3 linked regions of the Rattus norvegicus genome follow. The protein of the gene in region 1 interacts with the protein of each later gene in a biochemical or structural test. Links are inferred from orthologs where the notes say so. Each region holds a gene or a part of one and is shown in the gene's direction. Other genes may lie near its edges. The genes, in order: Rrad, Prkaca and Camk2g.

What was found.
Region 2: of the proteins of Rrad (region 1) and Prkaca, one has a biochemical effect on the other in vitro, tested with the Homo sapiens proteins (2 studies listed by BioGRID). The link is inferred for Rattus norvegicus from reciprocal best matches to the Homo sapiens genes RRAD and PRKACA.
Region 3: of the proteins of Rrad (region 1) and Camk2g, one has a biochemical effect on the other in vitro, tested with the Homo sapiens proteins (2 studies listed by BioGRID, with this or other methods). The link is inferred for Rattus norvegicus from reciprocal best matches to the Homo sapiens genes RRAD and CAMK2G.

What each region holds. Positions count from the first base shown.
Region 1 is NC_086037.1:359,331-363,589, forward strand, and holds the start of Rrad (GTP-binding protein RAD), read left to right. Parts: upstream 1-1,345; 5' UTR 1,346-1,502; intron 1,503-1,642; exon of another isoform or gene 1,643-1,694; 5' UTR 1,695-1,709; coding exon 1,710-2,076; intron 2,077-2,734; coding exon 2,735-2,808; intron 2,809-2,908; coding exon 2,909-3,113; intron 3,114-3,904; coding exon 3,905-4,182; 3' UTR 4,183-4,259. UniProt on the Homo sapiens protein: May regulate basal voltage-dependent L-type Ca(2+) currents and be required for beta-adrenergic augmentation of Ca(2+) influx in cardiomyocytes, thereby regulating increases in heart rate and contractile force.
Region 2 is NC_086037.1:41,080,356-41,084,461, reverse strand, and holds the start of Prkaca (cAMP-dependent protein kinase catalytic subunit alpha), read left to right. Parts: upstream 1-1,272; 5' UTR 1,273-1,408; coding exon 1,409-1,454; intron 1,455-2,119; exon of another isoform or gene 2,120-2,387; intron 2,388-4,106.
Region 3 is NC_086033.1:3,608,117-3,611,053, forward strand, and holds the end of Camk2g (calcium/calmodulin-dependent protein kinase type II subunit gamma), read left to right. Parts: intron 1-1,481; coding exon 1,482-1,714; 3' UTR 1,715-1,726; exon of another isoform or gene 1,727-1,735; intron 1,736-2,226; 3' UTR 2,227-2,323; downstream 2,324-2,937.

The sequences.
Region 1 (4,259 bases):
AGGCAGGCAGGCAGGCACACACACACACACACACACACACACACGCGCGCCCAATCTTCACCCTAGAGATGAGCAAGGAAAGAATAGTTATGATATCCAGTAGTTCAGGACTGGGAACCTGAACGCTGGGAGAGAGGCAGACTGGGCACTAGACCCACAGCCCGCCCATCAGCTCTCCTTCCCTCTGAGACTATACCTGTTTTCACTCAGTGTCTGAGAAAGGGGAGACCCGAGGCAGTGATGGTACTTCATCTAGTTTTGCCATTGGCACATGGGTACTTAGTATGGATGAGAAGTGAGTCTTAAACAGAGCAGAGGCCCTGGGACTAGTTCCTAAAAGCTACCCCTTGCCCATAACCATTTATGCCCCTCCTCGGTGAGATGAGGCCTAGCATGGGGCTCAGGAGCAGGAAAAACTTGAAAACTCTAAAGGAGTTGGCTCTTTCTGGAGTCCCCCACTGTCAGCCTGGATCTCCCCAACTCTGGGCAGCCTCATGCCCAGAAACAAAATGGCTAGGGCCAGGGTTAGATATTTTTAGCAGTTACTGGCAGCTGCTTGGCATGCTTAGAGTTAGGGTGGGGACTTGAGTTTGTGTTTTCCTTTTTCTGGCCCTGTAGTTTCTCTCCAGGAGACAAGCACCTAGTAGGCCCTAACAGAGGACTCCATTGCACCCCCTGAACCTTCTAAGGGACCCTAAGAATTCATGGATGACACCAACCCTCAACCTGAAGGGCAGTCTCTTTGGGAGACTCTTTAAGTCCCAGAACAAGGACAGGAATAGGAAGGGCTTAGTGTTGAAGCTAGAAATGCTGGTTTAAGACCCTCTAAATTCTGGTTAGGTCCATGCCTGGAGGAATGGGCTCCATTGGTTCTGAGTGTGTCCAGTCTATAACATGTCTATTAGCTTGGGTAACAAGCCAGGACTGAGCCAAAGAAGAGAAAATTCATCTTTAAAGAGACAGACCTAATTTTTCTCCAGATGGAGTTGTACTTCACTGGTCCAGTTACCCACTACTGGCAGCCTCTGAATTACACACACTGGTGCACCCTCCTCAACTCACACTCCCTGTCCCCATACCTCCCCTCCAACACCCCCCTCCCCCGCCCTGTGCCAGCCTCTTTCCAGCTACCTGCCCCGCCCCTGGCGGGTTTGAGGTCCTAGAAGGGAGGGGGGGATTCCCGGGGGCGAGTGGATGCGTCAGCCTGGGCAGCAGCCCGGGAGGATGGGGGCGGGGGCGGGGGCGGGGGCGGGGGCGGGGGCGGGAGCAGAGGCGGGAGCGGGGTAGGGGTAAGGGCTGGTAGAGGTTTAAATAGGAGGCCCTAGAACCGCGATCCAGCGCCAGCTGAGGGGCTGAGAAGGCCATCAAGGAGAAAAAGGTTGCAGACGTGACAGAGACAAGGCTCCGAGTCTGAACAGGGGTCTGCGAGTGGGTCTATCTGATTCCCCAGTGGTCTGTGCCGCAGCGCTGATCAAGTGCTGATAGCATCTGTGCAAGAGTCGGTGAGTGTCCTGACAAAGCGGGGTGGACGACACCATCTGGGCTGGGGGATGAATGGGGACCCAGGTGAAGGTGTAGAGACCTCCTGGCTGGCAGTAGGTTCTGGCAGGTCCTTCATCCTGAGCATCTTTCTTGACTCCAGGGTCCTGCCTGTTCCCGCGATAGAGCTGCTATCCCAATTCTTGGTTCCTCAGACGGCGTCCGACACGATGACCCTGAATGGAGGCAGCGGAGCGGGCGGCAGCCGTAGCGCGGGCCGGGAGCGCGACCGTCGTCGAGGCAGCACCCCATGGGGCCCGGCACCCCCACTGCACCGCAGGAGCATGCCGGTGGACGAGCGAGACCTTCAGGCGGCGCTAACCCCGGGCTCCCTGGCAGCGACTGCAGCTGGAACTCGGACACAGGGGCAGAGGCTGGACTGGCCTGAAGGCTCCTCCGATTCGCTCAGTTCTGGAGACAGCGGCTCAGAGGATGGCGTTTACAAGGTGCTGCTGCTGGGGGCACCTGGTGTGGGCAAGAGCGCTCTGGCGCGCATCTTTGGTGGTATAGAAGACGGACCTGAAGCAGAAGCAGCAGGTGAGAGAACTGGGCTGTTTAGATAAAGATAGTTGGGAGGCAGTGGAGCTGGACTAAAAGTGGCAAATTCTATGAAATTTCAAGGCATTTTTGAATCATGTTATTCCTCCGCGTCCAAGATGGAGAAACTAAAGGAGAAGAGCCACTTACTCCCTACTTGCTGCCACCCCCTCTCCCCTACCCATGTGCTGGTCCTTGAAGAAGTCCAGAGAAGAAGTGTCCAGAATAGAGTGTAGAGTGCCAGATACGATTTCTCTGTGGCTTGGAGCAGAGAAATGTAGCTGCCTGCTGGGGCTGGCAGAAACAAAATCCGGGGAAATTTCTAGAAGAGGAAAGTTAGGTGGCCAAGGTCTCCAGGGGTTTGCGACAGGCACTATGCTAACTCCAGCCAATATGATCACACCCACTCTGTACCCAGGCAGCAGGATCCCTGGACACTCAGTACTTCAATAGTTTGGGGACATAGAGATGGAGGTCATGTCCTCTAGTCCCTAGCTCCCAGGTTTGTCCGTGTTGTTTGAGCATAGCAACCATCTGCTAGTGGATGAGAATTATCAGAGGACTCAGAGAAGAAGCAGGGGGTGTGGTCAGAAGAAGAAGGTGGACACTGGGAACTTTGACAGCCAACTGATAACTTGGCTCTTGGCTTCCTTCCTAGGGCACACATATGACCGTTCTATCACTGTGGATGGAGAAGAAGCATCACTAATGGTCTATGACATTTGGGAACAGGTAGGATGCAGACTGGGTCACAGAGAACGAGGGGAAGCAAAGCTGGAGAAGGGTCTTGCTAGGAATTACAAGGTCGTGTATGCATTTGTGTCCCCTCCAGGATGGAGGCTGCTGGCTGCCTGGCCACTGCATGGCCATGGGGGATGCATATGTCATTGTGTACTCAATAACGGACAAGGGCAGCTTTGAGAAAGCCTCAGAACTCCGGGTCCAGCTGCGGCGGGCACGGCAGACAGACAATGTGCCCATCATCCTAGTGGGCAACAAGAGCGATCTGGTGCGCTCTCGTGAGGTCTCTGTGGATGGTAAGCAGGCATTGGGTCAGGAAAGGGAGGGAGATCCTGGCTGGGCTGTGGGCCAGCTGGTCTTGGCTCAGCTTGAGTCCCTGGGGATCATCAGTGGCTAAAAATGTTCAGGAAGAAAACTTGGTGTTGGAGGGTGGGGGAGGTGTTGCTGGTCCATCAGGCTCCCAAAGGCCTACCTAAAACAAAGGGGGAGGGGAGGATCAGATCTGCTAGGAGGAATGAGACACGAAAGCACTTTCCACAACTGCTCGTTGGGTCCATGCCTGACAGGAGACAAGAGTGAGGCTGGAGAAATGGGCAAACATGTAGAGAATCAGGAAGTCAGAACCCAATTCCAGGCCCTACCAGTCTCGGCGTAAGCCTGGTGCTTCTTCATCAGGCTTTAGCATCCTCTTTTGTGGCATGCAGTACCGAGACTTCAAACTAGGTGATCTTGCCACGACCCCAGTATGTTGGGCTATTTGTTGTAGTAGCAAGTCATAAAATACATAGCTGCCGTCAAATAATCTTGTTTGCCTTGGTCCACTATTACAGAATACATTTTAAATGCTGGGCTTTAAATATATGAATGCCTTTTTTGTGGGCCACCATAAACTTTGGAGGCATATTCTGTCTATCAAGTGACCCCAGGAATGTTTGGGATTCTCGGTATAGGAAATGGGATCTCCATGTCTCTAGGAAGGATCTAGGGTTCCTTCTGTTATCCTTGAGTCATAGCTGCCGGATATGGCCAGGGTTTGAGTTAGCATTCTCCCATCATTAACTGGTATATGTCTGTCCCCATCACATAGAGGGCCGGGCCTGCGCAGTGGTCTTCGACTGCAAGTTCATCGAGACCTCCGCAGCACTGCATCACAACGTCCAGGCACTGTTCGAGGGTGTTGTGCGTCAGATACGCCTGCGCAGGGACAGCAAAGAGGATAATGCTCGTCGACAAGCTGGCACTCGACGACGGGAGAGCCTTGGCAAGAAGGCCAAACGCTTTCTGGGCCGCATAGTAGCTCGCAACAGCCGCAAGATGGCCTTTCGTGCCAAGTCCAAGTCCTGCCATGACCTCTCTGTTCTCTAAGGCCAACGGCCCCCTTGTTTGTGGGTCAGTAGATGGATGGAAGGGCTGGCCCAGCCAACTGCTCTAAATGTCTCAGA
Region 2 (4,106 bases), about 41 Mb from region 1:
GTGGAAGAGTGCCAGCATCCAGTGTGTGAGGATGGGGGTTCTAACATCAACCTAGTAGTGTGTGTGCAGGAGACCCCTCCAGCAGAGTGTCAGGCCTCTAGTGTTGGTGGCACAGTGGGAAACTGACCACGTTCTGACAGTGCAGCTAGAACCAACTGAGTGAGGTTCAAGCTCAGTGGTACAGTGGTTACTTAGCAGGGAGTAGGCAACCTGTTCAATCCCCAGCACTGCATAAAAATAAAATTTAAAGATGAGCATCCAGAAGGAAGCAGAATGGCTCTCCGCCTGCCCGCGGAGGGCAGGTTATTGCTGGCAATGTCTAGGCAATGAAGATTAGTTAAGAGCAAGGAACTAGTCTGACTGTGCCTCCACAAAATGGGAATATGACAGTCCCAACATGCTAGGTACAAGAAGTAATGTAGTTGGCCTGCGTCCGTTGTTACTACTTTTCAGAGGCCTCGGTTGAGCCTCAGCAAAGAGTGGACACTGAGAGTCTCCTCCCAGCCCGCCCTAAGTTCTGGGTCCAGCATCTCCTTGCAACTCCGGTTGTGTCGCGAGCAAACCAAAGCGGACCCGGAGCTGCTTGGGTCACGGCTGCCCAGTGTCAGGCCTTATGAATGACGCCGAACGGCGCCCGGCGACCTTTGACCCTCAGCTCCAGCCCGCCCCTACCCCCCCCCCCCCCCGGCAGGTGGACAGCCGCTGCGCCGGCTCGCTGTGGCGTCAACCTCTGGCCCGTAGCCGCTGCCGCACTGGGCAGGGGCGGGAGACTGCAGCGCGCACAGTGCCGCACGGACGTCCGCCGGGCCGCCTCCCGCACTTTGCAGCGCCTGCCACCCGGCCACCCTCCAGCCACCGCCGCCGCAGCCTCCGCCCCGCCCGCCGCCCGGGCCGCAGCTTGCGCCGCTGCCCCGCCCTCTCACCCCGGGACTGACACCCGCCGGGGCCGCGCGTCTCCGCCAATCGACGGCTTCTCAGGGCGAGCCCCAAGCCCCATCGGGCTTTTTGACCAATCACATGGGTTCGCCCGCCCGACTGCGGCCTCACAAGCCCGTGAATGGACGAGAGTCTGCAACTCGCGTCACTCATCCAGGAGCCTATGGTGGCGCGGGAGAGTTCCTGAGGGCCAATGAACAACGGCGTGGGGCTGTCAGTCAGGGAGGCCTGAACCAATGGAAGGTGGACTGCGGGGGCGTCACGGACAGAGGACTTGGGCTGAGGCTCCCCCGCGGGCGGGCGCAGAGAGACGCGGGAAGCAGGGGCTGGGCGGGGGTCGTGGCGCCGCAGCCAGCGCAGCCAGCCCCAGGGGCCGCCGCCTCCGCTGCCCAGCGCGCTCCGGGGCCGCCGGCCTCCTTAGCACCCGCCGCGTCGCAGCTCCGGGACTGGCCCCGGCCGCGACGCCGCCGCGATGGGCAACGCCGCCGCCGCCAAGAAGGGCAGCGAGCAGGAGAGCGGTGAGTGCCTGGCCGTCACCCTGATCTTCGCTACGTGCGGCCTGCCCGCGCAATGCCCATCACTGCATGGCCCCTCCCCCATATGCCCCCCCAATCCTGTCTGCTTGCACCCCTGCCTGCTGCCTGTACACGTTGGGGTCCGATCACCGCAGAAGTACCTTGCCCCCAGTAGGGCCCCCGTGCCCATGGCCTACCATCCCCCACTGCAAAGGCCGTGCCCCCCCACCCAGCTGTCACTGCCAACCATTGCATGTATGACCGCCGGGGCCCCAGATGGGGCCCTGTCACCATCCCACCCCCTCTTCTCCTAGTCCCTTTCCCCAGATTCTAATCTCCCCTCCCACTTCGTCACTCACCTTTCCCACACAGCGCCCCAATGCCTGACCCTGATCCAGGCTCCTGCTAGTCTCAGAAGTGCTGTGGGGTCCACGCTGCAGGGACCTTGGCCACTTGGTGACCACACCCCTCCCCCTCCAGCCCCCGCCATCTTTCTCCTACCCCTGCCCGATTCACCTCATCACAGCCCCCCCCCTTCAGGCCCCCCCTCACCCCACGAGCATTTCCCAGGGCCACCTCCTGCATTGTTTTTCCCTTCTGTGTCACTTGGCATGGGGGACAAGATCTTTCTGGGTCCCTCTGCCCCTCTCATCCTGTCACTCCACCTCCTCCGTGCAATCGTCTGGCCCTGGCTGGGGTGGCAGACTGTTTATGAACCTAGAGAGCTGCTTCTGCGCTTCCACATCCAAGTTCGAGCTGGTCTTGCTCAGAGCCATTGCGTCTGTCCTTTTTCTTGGGTTGCGGGTGAGGTAAAGCGGCAGAACATCCTTCTGGCCTGCCTGAGGTCTGGGTTCTTTGGAAGGAAGGCCCCTCAATAAATGGTCGTTTCACAACTGCTGTTCTGTCCCTCACCCAGTCCCTGGGGCTGGTTCAAAGCTGAGGATGAAATGAATAGCAAAGGCTCATTGGACTTGAATTGGGATGATTAGAAAGAAGAATTGCATGGGTTGGAGTAACCCCATCCAGCAATAGGTGACATTAATAATTTTGTTTGCTTAAGACAGATGGATTCTGTGTATACTGAGGGCTCACCTAGAATGAGTGTATTCTTTCCCCCATCCATAAACATGCTGAATTTTTCCAGCCAGGGAAAAAAAAGTAATTCCGTATTTGAAATTACTTCCGAAAGGGTCTTGAGCCCTGTCCCCAATACTTCCATGTCTTAAAGTGGTGTCACTCTAAGCCGTAGAAGTATTGCAGCTGAGAAGTCCTTCCAGTTACCCAAAAAGGAGGCTCTGATCTGCTCTGCCCTTCTCAGTGACTGAGTCCCCAGAATGCCACTGAAGAAGCCCAAGAACTTCCTGCCCCTCCCCCCCCCCCACTTTCAAACAGCAGAGCTCAGCCCAGCAGAGGAGCAGCCTTAAGAGGCCTGGCATTTCACCGATGGGCGGGGGACAGAGAGGCAAGTGCTTGTAGTTGAGGGCTTGATGACAGAGGAGCAGGTGGGCAGTGCCCAAAAAGGTCTTGGGCTTGGGCTTGGAGGGGCCCCGGGGCAGAGGGAGAAGGGCTAAGCTGCTTTGGCTGGTGAGGCCCACCAGGAGGTAGATGGTACGTACAGTGGACTGTACACACAGTGGACTATGTGCTGCAGTGGCCTCTTTGAGAGCCGAGCACGGTGCTAGAGAAGTTTAAAGCATATCAGACATACACAACAGAACTGAACCACAGAGCAGGGAAGATCCCAAGGAAAAGATCAGGAGTGAGCTGTACGGATGAAATCCGTGCATCAGGAGGGCTAAGTTAAATGGTTACCACAGGCATACTCACTTTGATGGTTTTTGTCCAAGTGAGCCATCTGAGTTTGATACAGATGATGGCTTACAGGCAGAGTTCACATCCAGATCTGTCTACCGGCGGCATATCTCCTGGACCCCGCAATGCCTCGACTCAGACATTCTTTTGTTTGTTTTGGTTTTTAAAGGCAGGATCTCACTGTATAGCTCTACCTGGCCTGGAACTTGAAATGTAGACCAGGCTGGCCTCAACTCTCAGAGATCCGCCTGCCTCAGCTTCCCCAGAGCTGGGATTAAAGGCGAGCATCATCGTGTCCAGCCTTCAACTCAGACGCTAAAGGTGCGTCAGCAGGAGTTAAACCCCAGTCATGTTTTAACTTAAAATGATAAACCCCACAGTAGTGTGTATTGACAGTACCAGCAACCCAAGAGGCTGAGGGAAAGGATTGAGTTAAGCCCAAAACTTAAAGGCTAGCTTGGGTAACAGCAAGACCTTGCATCAAAATACAAAACCTGTGTCCTACAGGATGGCCCTCAGGTAAAGATGTTTGCTGTGAAGCCTGTCCATCTGAATTGTCTCCCTGGGATCTGCATGGTGGAAGGAGAGAGCTGGCTCTTCACGTTATCCTATGACCTCCACAAGAATGTGTGTACACACACAATAAATGTATAGAGACATTTAAAAACATAAAAGAGGGCCAGAGTCTCAAACCAGCAAGAGAGGGACTGTGATCCAGAAGGAACTACGTTCGAGGCCAGCCTGGGCCACAAAGGAGACACAGCCTTTAAAAGAAATAATAAACACTTTGCTCATTTCCATTCATAGGTCCTAAGCTATTCCTGCCTGAGATTGCTAGGCCTG
Region 3 (2,937 bases), on another chromosome or scaffold:
ACTCCTGCCTGCCCCTTCCCCCTGCCTCTGTCCCTACCCACCCTTTACCCTGTGACCTCTCTTTGCGTTATCTGACCTTCCTCGTGTCCTGCTGGCTTTTAATGGGCACTGCTCAGAGGCTGAGTGCCCATTCACTTGGCAGCTGTATCAAGGCGCTGCTGACCATCACCGTTAGGGTCACTGCATTTGTTTAAACAGCACCTGTCTCCAAGACAGACTGTAAACTCTTCAACATTAACTCAAGATGATCTCAGCGAGTAATAATGGAGGTCTGTGTCTGCAGGGTTCCCAGTAAAGGGAATTGCAAACAGGATAATGTGTAAGCAAGTAACAGCAGTAGTGGTGAACTGTGAGGTCAGAAATTGTGGCGAGGACACCCTGGACATCGAGGGAGCCAAGCATCTGGATAGGGAGGTCTATAAGCTCCTGGGAGTCCCAGAACTGAATCATCACACCATCTCTACTTTCCTAACTCTCATTCTTCAGATTTCCTCCCCTTATCCACTTTATCCTTGGTGTCTCCTGTTCTGCCCTGAGTTTTCTGTTGTAGCTGTTTTCCCCCCACTGACTCTGCATGTGATTTCCCCACACTGTAGCTGCCTGTGTAATCCCTTAGCTATCTAAGTAATTCTAGTAGCCAGGGCAGTGCTTATCGTAGTTCTAAAGGAGGGCTCTTGCAGCCTCTGTAGTGTTGGAATAAACTCGGGGAATCTGAGCCAAGCCGTCACCATATGCAAGGCATATGCTGGGAGTGAGTGGCAGTCAGTCCAGCTCCCTCCACTTCTCCAAACCCAGAGAACCCTGGGAACTTGGTGGGATCCTGAGCTGAGTGCTTTGGGGATTTCAACCTTTGATGTGCCTTTTCTTTTCAAGTCACAAATTGATTTTGAATGTATCGCTTTTATGATCTTTCTCTTCTAGTCTTAGCTAGGGGCAAAATAAGCCTAGGACTTTTAAATACCAGCCTAACCAAGTACAAAAGCCACGGGTTTTTATTAGAGCTGCCCGGTCCTGAGTTTAAATATTTTATTTAATTTGAGTCTTGTTTTTCCCCCTGCATATAGTGAAAAAAAAAATCAGTAAAGACAGACATCCCTCTCGCCTGTAAAACCTAATGAAATACCTAATGAAAAGAGTAGTTGCGGGAGTTGGGGATTTAGCTCAGTGGTAGAGTGCTTGCCTAGCAAGCGCAAGGCCCTGGGTTCGGTCCTCAGCTCCGGAAAAAAAAATAAATAAAAAAAAGAATTAAAAAAAAAAAAAAAGAGTAGTTGCGAGTATTACCCACATTTCTCTTCCTTTTGGATGAAACCAATATAATGGAGGATTGCGGCCTCTGGTGGGCGATGTTGGAGTACTTGGGGATTCTAGAAATGGCTGCTGGAGCTAGTCTCAGAAGGTGCAGCCTGGTGGGAGTGTGTGTGTGACTGTCTGAGCCTAATGCTTGCTGCCTCCCCTCCCCTCCCCCGCCCCGCCCCCTGCAGTCCTGTCCAAGAACAGCAAGCCTATCCACACCACCATCCTAAACCCACATGTCCATGTCATCGGCGAGGACGCAGCTTGCATCGCCTACATCCGGCTCACCCAGTACATCGATGGGCAGGGTCGGCCTCGCACCAGTCAGTCAGAGGAGACCCGGGTGTGGCACCGCCGGGATGGCAAGTGGCTCAATGTCCACTATCACTGCTCAGGAGCCCCTGCTGCACCGCTGCAGTGAGCTCAGGCACAGGTGCTCCTGGTAGGGGAGAGGTGGATGGGAAGGGGGCGTGGCTGGGAAGGGAGAGGTGGCTGGGAAGGGGAGGTGGCTTGGATAGCTAAGGTCGGAGGAGTAAGAGAAGGGTAGAAGGTGGCACTCTAGGAAGAGGTATGCCCCCCACCCCCAGAGGGGAGCCACAGACTGGGCAACATAGTTTTGATAAGCTTTGCTCTGTAGTCAGGTAGACTCCAGACTTAGGATTCTTCCCCTGCTAAGCCTTAGTTTCTTTAGTTATCAAAGACGGGGGATATTGTACCTGCTTCCATTCCAGGATGGATGGTAAGGAGTGAGACAGTATATGTAAAGCATTGAGTAGGCACTCAAATGTGAGACAGTCGTGTTTAAACATTAGCTCTCCTGTTCCGCCCATTCAAGGACTTAGCCAAGTGTGCCGTGTACCAAAACCCCGTGAATTTACCTGTGTTCTCACTGTCCTTCTCTCTTCTGTTGCCACCTCCTGCTCTGTTTGACAGGGGCATTAGGAGATTCCAGCTGGAGGCTGAACCTTCGAAGTCAGTGACTCTGGAGGGCCTGAGTGACAGCCGCGGTCCTGTCCATTTGAGGTTTAAAACAATTACATTACAAAGCGGCAGCAGCCAATGCACGCCCCTGCATGCAGCCCTCCCGCCCGCCCTTCGTGTCTGTCTCTGCTGTACTGAGGTGTTTTTTACATTTAAGAAAAAAAAAAGAAAATAAGATTGTTTTAAAAAAAAATGGAATTCATACCATGATGCGTTTTAAAACAACTGATAGCCTTTGGGCTTGAAGAAGGCAGGAGTTTGTATGATGCTCATCCAGGCGTGAACAGAGGGCTCACCCACTGGCTTTGAAGAGGTGAGCTTGGCCTCAGGCCCCCATGGACTCGGGGGGGACCAGGCAAGGACTCTTGACAGAGCTTTGGTCATGGACAGAGCCATGCTGTGGTTGCAGCCCCGGTGGTGACCTGATCACTCCAGGTCTAGGAGTGGACTTCTTCAGAATATACATTGACACCTAGTATGAGAAAGAAGAAAACTCCATGGCTAACAGACCTACTTGGGAGAGAACGCAGCGCTCCCAGCCCGCTGTGGAGGCAACTGTGAAGCGTGGCCTCGGGACTGAAGGCCTGGACTTTGCCGTACCGTTCCAGTTAGTGTAGACAGGAAGAGAATTGGTGCTGCAGAAGTGTGTCCGACACAGAGCCG